2 linked regions of the Tribolium castaneum genome follow. The main gene of each other region encodes a partner of the protein of the gene in region 2 in a complex. Links are inferred from orthologs where the notes say so. Each region holds a gene or a part of one and is shown on either strand. Other genes may lie near its edges.

The links. The genes of interacting proteins can lie anywhere in the genome.
Region 1: retinoblastoma-like protein 1 (region 2) and lin-52 share a complex: the UniProt entries of both Homo sapiens proteins name them as parts of the DREAM complex. The link is inferred for Tribolium castaneum from reciprocal best matches to the Homo sapiens genes RBL1 and LIN52.

What each region holds. Positions count from the first base shown.
Region 1 is NC_087402.1:6,134,452-6,139,456, forward strand, and holds lin-52 (protein lin-52 homolog), read right to left. Parts: upstream 2,933-5,005; 5' UTR 2,819-2,932; coding exon 2,785-2,818; intron 2,592-2,784; coding exon 2,502-2,591; intron 2,451-2,501; coding exon 2,349-2,450; intron 2,296-2,348; coding exon 2,150-2,295; 3' UTR 1,903-2,149; downstream 1-1,902. Other genes in the region: probable protein phosphatase 2C T23F11.1, read left to right, coding at 3,465-4,083.
Region 2 is NC_087396.1:19,759,021-19,764,491, forward strand, and holds the end of retinoblastoma-like protein 1, read left to right. Parts: coding exon 1-309; intron 310-421; coding exon 422-475; intron 476-527; coding exon 528-565; intron 566-610; coding exon 611-780; intron 781-830; coding exon 831-1,020; intron 1,021-1,071; coding exon 1,072-1,275; intron 1,276-2,334; coding exon 2,335-2,512; intron 2,513-2,562; coding exon 2,563-2,694; intron 2,695-2,746; coding exon 2,747-2,910; intron 2,911-3,164; coding exon 3,165-3,465; intron 3,466-3,513; coding exon 3,514-3,632; intron 3,633-3,680; coding exon 3,681-3,989; 3' UTR 3,990-4,336; downstream 4,337-5,471. Other genes in the region: synaptic vesicle membrane protein VAT-1 homolog-like, read left to right, coding at 5,083-5,333. UniProt on the Homo sapiens protein: Key regulator of entry into cell division. Directly involved in heterochromatin formation by maintaining overall chromatin structure and, in particular, that of constitutive heterochromatin by stabilizing histone methylation.

The DNA of each region.
Region 1 (5,005 bases), on a different chromosome or scaffold from region 2:
TTACCCAGATTTCTCCGATAAATTAATCTCCAGATAAGAGATTTAGTCGAGAAAACACGATTCACTGAGACAAAAACTCTGATAACCGGCGAACTCACTCGGCATTCACAACACAAAACTAAACTTGCTGGCTGGGGTCCCCACAGCACGGTCTAAAGTCAGGTGAATGTGTCTCCCACTACCATATTTACCTGGACACCTATCTCTATCTAACGCACTTATAGATGAAGATTGGCTTTGAGAAGAATGCAAGAAGGTATTTGCATACTTTTGACTTCGTGCAACTCGACGCGACGGGATAACGAATCAAATAAGAAAGTTTTTGCTATTTTATGCATCCGTTAATTTTTTCGGGACGGAATGGCGGATGAGCGCCCAAAATGGGCCGAAGAAGGTGGTGTAGTTTTGAGATAATTGGGTCCGAGCGTAGGTTTTATATTTATGCGAAATGGACCTAGATGGTTGTAGCAATTCCATTAAATAAATAATGTTGTAATGATCAGTGTAACATTTTATTGACATTATTACGGTAAACAAATTTAGTAATTGATGTTACGACACTATTTTATATCTTTACTTCGACTTTCTTTGTGAAATTTTTAAGCGTATTGGACAGTTTTTTTTTTGGATATAATGCAGGAAATGAGAGTTTGTAAAAGGACGAAGCTATTGAATCTGATTGAGATTTTGTAGGCCCATTACAAGGTCAGGATATAAAATATGGAAACGGCATTATTGAAGCTAAAGCATTGATTCAAGCCAGAGTAAAGTTACAAAAGTTCAGGCCGTTTTTAAAACGAAGCGAGGACATAATTCACATCAAACAGCAGTCAAAATATTTTTTTTCAACAACATGAAGGGAACTAACAATTTTTATAAGTGTTCAATGTAATTCAATGAAAATAAGTAGTGACTTTTGGTTTTTAATTAAAATTAAAGCGTTTTTCTTCAAGAGTGGATTGTTGGTTGCAGCCATTCTACGCGAAAAAACATTTTCTTCGCAAACTTTGAAAATTTATTACAATATTCAAAATAGTCCCCGAAGAGTGAATCAGTTATTACCGGAAAGAAGGAAAATAGTGAAAATAATGAATAAAAATTTTGCAAAATGCTTTTACAGAAAAGTTGTTGTACTTGTGCTTGTACACGCCCTTTATAAACGATCAAACACCCTTTTTAATGTAAATGTTTGACACGAAAAGTTTATTTTTGCCCAATAGACATTTCAATAAATCACACTAAAGTTTATGTCGTTGACTCAAGGAAGATTTGTCTACCCTTAAACCTACTCAATAATAATTAATAACGCTCTAAAAGAGCAGAAACGGACACAAAATTCATAAAAGTAAAAATTTTTACATTTTCAAACTACAAACAGTAGCCAACGCAGAAACCATATGAAGGTAGGTGCATCTTATTTAACGCCAAGTAAAAAATATTTGATTTATGTGTTGTTTTTTTTTCATAAATAATTCCTTTATTTTCTAATAATCATTGTTTACCTCATCCTTAATTCCTTTTTTCCTGGCAAGAATGTTCTAAACCTTCTTCTGGTTCTTGCTGGACAAATGAGTTATTAATTTGACTAATTAGAGCAATCCTTAAATACGAGTTTTTTAACGCAATTTGCAAAATCGAGAAATTTTATAAAAATTAAAAAAATGTTAAGGTCCTAAGGAATGTTTGTCCGAACATGATTTTTTACAGTTGAAGGCCCTATTAGAGAGCTTAATCTCCTGCAAAAATAATTATCAATTTACATTCCACCGGATATTTTTAATCTAGGAAGCTGCTGGGTTCAGTAATAATAATAATAATAATAATAATAATAATGCATCACCTCATTATTGTTTTGGTGAGCTAACGGGGAACAAAATTTTAATTGTAGAAAATGAAGACACCTTTTACAAAACCAAATTTATTTTCGATTTTTATTATACAAACGAAACTTCAGCAGTGCAATATAATACATAAATCCTTTTGAAGCACTTGCTTAATAATACATTACAAAAATGATTTTCTCCAGGAAATTAACGTACAATCACTTCTTTAAACTTAAACTTATAATCCTATGTACAAATATATTTCCCCTGCTCTTTTTATAACTTCCACGTTATTTGGAACCTCTACTTAGGTAACAAATTGCAAATCATTTCTGCTTCTGCCTGGGCTTAAAAACATTTAAGTATTTCCCCCTTGTGACTTCTTTCGATTCCTCAACACCCAACTGATATGCAATATCATGCAACTCCTTGACTTTAGAAATCAGTCCAGCTGTTGGAAGAGCTGCTAATTCTACAAAAACCACACTCTTCTCTACAATCACACAAAAACTAATCCAAACTTACGGTGCAGATAATTCTGGTCATCCTGACTCAATTCCTTCGAGTAAGGCAGTTTTACGGCACTTGGTGGCGTGAAACTGTTTACAAAATCTGTCATTCCTGGATCTGAAACCCTATTATTGCCCTAATCCCACAAACATGTGCAACGCTACTTACACTTCTCTGGCCAAATTTCTGGAGAGGCTCTATCCAGATTTTCCATACTCATTAAGGTCTGCTCTAGATCGCTCAAAGATTGATCTTGCTCTAGGAAATGCAACAAATCAATTATATTTTGACAGATTGACATAAGCCACTCTGTTTAAAATGCGAACTTGTCCACGCACGCTAGCCGACAATTTCGCGTAAACTGTCCATGCAAGGCCTCAACAATCGTTTAATAATTAAATTGAGCCAAAAGTAACATTTACAGGGTGATTTTTTATTAAAAATGCTTTACCTTGTTCAATGCTCCCGGGTTTCTCGGACGCCATCTTGCAATTGTGCCAACTGCAGCAAACGTAATCAAAAGGCTGCGCTTTTAGGGGGACTTTGAAAGCGGCAAAGAAACACTATACAGAACGAGCAAAAGTCGCAAATGACCCTAATTGGGTGTCAACCCCGATTCACTTGCCCCCAATTTCGTAAAAGTTTGGTTTTTAAATTTGGCTGGTGTATTAAGTGTCGCAATGTTGGCGCTTCCCTCGCCAAGATTGTAAAATCAAATCGTAATTTAATTAGTAATAAGTAACAACGAATTTATTGTCAATAGTTTTTATTTGAAGAACGTGCCGCACATTTTTATTGTTTAGGACATAAAAAAGTTTTCGGCCTTGTGCACAGGCGATGACGCACTCAGCCGGCCGCGTCCCAGCTCGACATTCAAACGTCAAGTTTCTCTTTTTTCGAAGAGTTCTCTCCCGATTAACCTAAATATTGCGTTCCATATCTCGTGACACACAACAGCAAAAAGCGGTGTTAATTAGCGTACGCAAAATATGCGATTCGATTTAGCACAAGTATGCTAAATAAAACCCATCCAAAGAGCAGAGTTCAATTTTGAGTAAGTAGCGACGGTTTTTTCCCGCTTGCCTCGTGTTTTTGCGCTTTTTGCGGACTTATCGCCCTTTCAGGGGTACTATGGGTCAAACTTTGTCCGAACCGGTGACTGCCAAGAACACAGCATGCTGCCAAAACGCCAATTTCCAAGTGGGCTCAAGTTCGATGCAGGGCTGGCGCATCAACATGGAGGACTCCCATACGCACATCTTGTCCCTGCCGGACGACCCCGAGGCCGCGTTTTTCGCGGTCTACGACGGGCATGGGGGCTCCAAGATCTCGGAGTACGCGGGCAAGCACCTGCACAAGTTTATCACGAACCGGGAGGAGTACAAGAACGGCCAGATCGAGGAGGGGCTGAAGCAGGCCTTCTTGGAGATCGACCGGGTCATGCTGGAGGATGAGTCGTTGAGAAACGAGCAGTCGGGCTCCACAGCCGTCACTATTATTATCAAAAATGGCACGTTGTACTGCGCCAACGTGGGGGACTCTAGAGCTGTGGCGAGCATTGGGGGCAAGGCGGAGCCGCTTTCGAACGACCACAAGCCGAACAACAAGGAGGAGTACGACAGGATCGTAGCGGCGGGAGGGTTTGTTGATTACAACAGGGTTAACGGGAACTTGGCCCTTTCCAGGGCCCTCGGTGATTTTATTTTCAAAAGAAACGAGGATAAACCCCAGGAGGAACAAATCGTTACAGGTAAGTCTGGAAATTGCGAGCTAATCTTGTTTAAACACTGTCAATATTTATGTTAGTCTTTTATGAATTGTGTATATTTAGATCAAGTGAGTAATTGGGTACTTAGGTAAATAATTACATCAGTTGATGGATGGTCCCATTTGATTCAAAGGGTGTGTTATTTTTAAAGTTACGTTGTCAGCATATGTTACGAATTAAGTAATCTGGCGGTGTTCCACTTGTGTCATTCATTAATTAAAAATATTTACAATTGTTATTAATAGGCGACCACCACTAAGTGATTAAAAGACTAACTTATCGCCTCGTATAACGTCACAAAGTGTGCATTATCTGAACTACGTCAGGTTGTTAACACACCGACATCCGAAGAAAAACATTCGTGATATCACTTGACGCAATTTTTTCTTGTATTACATCTGTTGTAATAGTTTTTTCTTTATTTAGTCCGTTGACCTGCTTGATAGGTAAATGCTAGTCAAGTAAACATTAATTTGTCGCGTTTGTGATAAAACTTCGATAGGTCAAACATGAAACGGCCGCACGCGATTATGTCTTTGTTTGTAAAGAGTAAAATAAGGAAGAAAATACACGGAAAAAGTGGCTACGTTAAAAATAAATCATTTAATAGTACAGTCCAGAATTAGAATTATTATTTAGCGAACGTTGACACTACAAAGTGATCGATATCTTCTTAAAAAATTAGCATTGCTAATATTAAGAAAACCGCAACACCTGAATTTTAAGTAGTAAAACCCGAAATTCCAAATAAATAAAATTCCCTAACCGCTTGAGTAATTTTACGTTTTGCGGTTCCGGCCTAAAATCAAGGTTAAAATTCAAAATTAATTCAATGGACCACTATTAAAAAGTGCCGATTCAGTGGCGGCTCGTGAATTCAACATCAAAGCTAAATTTTGTTTAA
Region 2 (5,471 bases):
TCCTAAACCCCGACTTTGCGGGCCTGCCTGAAGACTTCGCCCAGCCCAGCTATGTGCCCCCTTCGGAGGCCCCTTGCATCGTCAGCTTACTGTGCCCCAGTCCGAACATAATCACCGACCTGAAGTACGTAAAAGAGTACCAGTTCAAAAAATCGATTCGGAATTATCTCGACCAAGGCGTCTTGATTGAGAACGACCAAGGCGATGTCTTGGACACCTCGGTGTTTGACCATAATTACAAAAGCATTGGGAACGTGTACGAGAAAAATATCCTGAATAAGAGCGATTTTGACGAGCGCATTTTCCTGGGTGAGTGATTTTACAGCTAGTCCAATCATATGGCGAGCCAGCTGCGCAAACAGCTGACTGTCTTACCTGAACAGATGCTCCTGACCTTGCCCTAACACCTGTTTCATTCCAGCTGAGTACAAAAGAAAACTTCTAGTGAGAGACCAGAGTGTGGCGCAAAATGCAGGTAATTTGAATCGAGAAATCTATGATCAAACAATTGAATTTTGCAATTTCAGCTGACAACGCAAGTCCGGAGTTATCGACCAAAGAAATGGTATTTTATTTTTGTGTGTGGTATTTTTTTTACGTTTGTTAATAGGTTGTTAGTAAAGAGTGTTTGACGCCGCTCACTGGCCGCAAATATTTGGGCCCGAAGGAGTCGCAAGAGTCGACTCCGCTTGTGACAGCTACTGAAAGCATTTCAAGGCTTAATAACTTGCTTCATGGGCGCCAGCCGGCCCCCAGTGAGGCTTTAGTGCAATTGTTTGAGTAATTATGACGCCCAGAGTGGTTGAACGTGTCTATGATGATGTTTTAAGGTCTTGTGCTCGCAATCCAACTGAGAGAATCAATCAAATTGTTACAAATTTGGGGGAGAGGTTTCTGGAAGGCCACCCAGTTGACCAAAGAGAAGTAGCACAAAGGCGACTGCAGCTCGCGACAACTTTGTTTTATAAATTTATTGAAAGTATTCTGCAGAATGAGCGCTCAATACATGCTGATTTATCGGTATGTTTTTTAATTATTATTTGTTCTGTAGTATTTTTATTGTTTTTTTAGGCCATTGTGGAAAAAGACGTATTTTACGAATGTATGTTTGCTTGTTGTTTAGAAATTGTTATTTATTCATACAATAGTCGGCAAAGGTTCCCCTGGATATTGAAAGCACTGCAAATACAACCATATAATTTTGTTAAAGTGATTGAACTTATCATTCGCTCAAGAGATAAGCTTTCAAGGGACACTATCAAACACCTTAATATGGTAAGAACATTACAGTCGGGATGTTTTTTTGATTTGAGATTTCGTGAAACTGTGCAAAAAATCATAAAATTTTCTCAAAAATAGACCAAAATATGTTTCAATATACTCTCCACCTCTAAATAAAATTAGTTCGTCAAATTAAAAAAAAGCGGAAATTATGAAATTAGTTCAAAAATAGTGTAATTTTTCGCCATTTAAACACGTGTTTGCGCTAGAAACTAAATTTGTTCGTGAAATTACGCTGAACTGGGGCAGAAAAAAAACTAGCAGTGACATTTATTTCCTATTTAAGAGGGTTTTAACACGGTTTGCATATGTAAGGACACAATTATTTTAAAGAATTTTGGCGCAAGTTTAAAGAAATTAAATTATTGTGCTCGAAAACGGTGTTATTGTCTGGTTTTTTTTGAACTAAAAAATTAAATTACGTTAAATGGTTTAAGTATATTTTCTAGTTAGCAAATTTTTAATTTAAGACGAAATCTTTAAATTGAAGCGGTAAGTACGTGTTTGAGCTAAAAACTCATTTTCTTCGCTAAATTTCGCTAATCTCTGCCAGAAAAATCGTCAAAGTCGGTTGAGAATGTCATTTATTTTGCTTTTTTTAAGGGTTTAAACGTGTTTTTCATCAAGAAACGCAATTATTTTAATCTTTTTCGAGAAATAAAACACATTTTTGAGCTCAATAGTCAGGTTTTTCGCGACGTTTTGATAAACTGGACTGAAAAATCATTAAGAAATTAGGTCAAATTGATTTTTCTACACTATCTTGTAGACAGGTTTTATAAAAATCCTCTTCTTTTAATCAATTTTTGAAAGTTTTCAAGGGCCATATAATAAGAAATGCATAACTGTATTTTATTTGAATATTTAATTGTCGAATTTACGAGTAAATATTTTGTTTTAAAGCTTCAGATATCTTCTACATATAAAGCAAACAGTGAAGAAGGATTATGATTTATTTCAATCACTGATAATTTATTATAATTAGTCAGCAGTTTCTGTTTCTCATTCTGTTCTCCACCTTTACTCTGTTTTGTATGAAACTGTCGTTTTTAGATCGAGGAAACTATACTTTCCTCGCTGGTCTGGAAATCAGACAGTTTAATTTGGGAAGCAATAACATCTTCCGATAGGGAAGTACCGAAATTCGAAGAGACGGCTTTGCCAGGGCATATGCAAAATGAACCAAGTTCTGAAAACTTAACCTTGAGAAGTATTCTCAATTCTGAACCAAGTATTTTTGCTATTTTTTATGTTATACGATTGTTACAAAAATAATTGTAGGACAAATTGTATCGCCTGGCCCTTCTGCAACAGACCGGTTTCAGTCACCAGTAGCACACAGCAGTGCTGTGAATAGAGAATTGTTTCCTACAGTTCAGTCAGGTCAATCTCTACTCCAAACGACTCATTTGAGTAAGTTTTAATCAACTAAATTAACGCATTTATCAAAATTTGCGTTTTTTAGTGATTAAAGATCGTACTGGGAATACTCGCATGATTCCTATCGTAAATAGTGAAACGCAAAAGAGCACCCCGGTGCCAGTTCAACAGACGACTCCACAACGTCAGGAGAATGTAGCTCAAGCCAGGCCGAGAAGAACAGGAGGTGTGTCAATAGTATTCAGGAAAGTAAGTAAAGTCCCGTTAAAATTTATAATTTTGCGGTTTAATGGCATCCAAGTGTTAAACAAATCTGCTCTACTTTCTAGAATTGGGTTTATTTCAGTGTAGTAATTAAACGCTTTTATTTTTTCCGTGAATTGTTAAAATTTTATATGCGGTCGTCATGGGTAAAGAATGACCATAAATCCGTGCACAAGTGCTAACAAAATTTATATTACCCTACTAACAGATGTCCACTAAAGACACATTCGTAATTTCAGTTCTATAATTTATCTGGAGAACGGATGGAGCACCTGTGCACACACTTAAAAATCACAAACACGGACACTAAGCGCAAAATCTGGACGGTCTTTGAGGAACTGGTTCGCAAAAACCACTGCGAATTGATGAAAGACCGCAATTTGGACCAGCTATTAATGTGTGCCGTCTACATGATATGCAAACTTACGAAACTCAACAAAAATTTTACGGAAATTATTAAAAGTTATAGAAGCCAGCCTCAGGCCACGAGTGACATTTATCGCAACGTTCTGATAAGCAGTAAAAAAGTCGTGGTTGTTGGTAAGCTCCAAATGACGCAGTTTGCGTTTTTTCTACGGAATATTTCAGATGGGGAGACGACCGAAATTCCGGAAGAATGGGGTGACTTGATACAGTTTTATAACAAAGTGATCATTCAAGCAATGAAAAAGTTTGCGCAGAAATTCGTAGTCCGAGGCGAGGAAAACGTAAGTTCGAAAATGTTTTGTTTGTAACGTCTTATTTTTGTGATTTAGATCGGAGATATACTTTTGAGTCCACTGCCGGCGTCCAGGGGGCAAGTGGTCCAAGTGTTTGACAACATTTTTATCAAGCCACTGGAAAGTCCGACTTTGACTTTCGGCAATGGCAAAGTCCTGAACTACTATTTCAGCCGAAGTCCTTCTAAGGACTTGAAAGACATCAATAAGGCCATAAGGGGCAATGGTGTGACGGGAAAACGATTGCTAGTGGAGGGCGAGAACGACTTGCCCGACTCGAAACGTCTGGCAAAGAGAAAAGTGCAGTCTTTGATTGAAGAAAGAAGAAATCAAAACACTGAATGAAGTTTCATTTAGATTTTAACGTTTATTATGTATAAAGTTTAATTCTAGCATAATTCAAACTTTTTTAATTCTAAAAATATTAATTTTTTCGATTTTGGCACCAGTTGATGCTGGCGTCTGGTTTTTGTTCACTGTTCTTGTGATATGCTTGGAAGTTTCCCTTCAAAGGGTCGAGTACTGAAACATCTAAAATAATTTATCTCAACTTTTCGTTTTAATTAATTAAATTACGTCAAAGTTTTATCGTGTGTTTGCCTTTTTACTTTATCAGCAAAAATTTCGTCGTAGGTTGGTTTGTACGAAGTAAACTTCACGTCTATTTTGAATAAATTGACCAATTGAATGACCATGTTTGTTTAAGTCTCCTTTTACAACCACAAGTGCCGAATATTATTTTTTGTCCAAAAATGATTGAAGAACTTTTATTAGCCTTGTCCTTATATCCATTTCTAAAATTATCTTCGTCTTATCAAGTATATTTTTTCCAAACTTAAATGGCGCAGTCAGTAGGATTAACTTAACATCTTTTCTACAAAATTTGTGGACTTTAGCCTTGGTTCTAATGTTTATATTACAGCTTCAAACATGAGGAGACCTTAGCAAGTCATTTTTCTTTTAACAGAAAAAAATAGTACACGTTTTGCCAGGCTTTCAAAAGCAAATTGTTTTAACCCAATTAATAAACATTTACTTTTTATCCCAAATCCGTTAGTTTGTGTTTTTTCTTGTTACGATTTGACTTAATTTCGCAACAAGAATTTTTTGATTTTTTTGACTCGAAGATATACAGGGTGGCGCTTAAAATTACCAGAAGCCGCTCCAAACGCTAGCTTGAAGCATCGTTGTTGAATTAAAATCTTCGAGTATTTACTTATTTAACATTTGCTCTGCCAAAATATTTACCAAGTATTCTCCCAGTTGCATCTTTTTGGGGGTAGTTTTGTTTTTATTTGGCTTAAGGCGCTTGCGCACGCGACTGGCGCGCCCTAAGCGCGACTAGCACCTGTTACATTCTTCATTGTTCAACGAGAAGCCGGCCGGCATAAAGTGCATAACCGTTATTTCCTCCGCGTGTGCTCTCCAAACTTGCACCATGTCTGAACAAGCTGAAACCGCCCCCACTACGCAAGAGGAGCAGAAGACCGAGGCCCCAACTGAAGAAAAGGACGTCAAAGAGAACGGCACCGGCGAAGCCGAACCTGTTGCTGAACAAGAAAAAGAAGCCCCGAAAGAAATGAGGGCTGTCGTCCTCAACGGATTCGGAGGCCTCAAGTCGGTCAAAATACTCAAAAAGCCCGAGCCTGCTCTCAACGAAGGCGAGGTTTTGATCCGAGTCAAAGCATGGTAAGGCTTTAGTTGCTATTGATTTTTTTAATTATTTCGCGGTCTGCTGATGCGAAAATGCAGCCTACACGCCTCGCGAAATCAATTCGATCGCGATATGTTTTATCTTTATCGCAATTTCGGTTTTTGCCATCGATT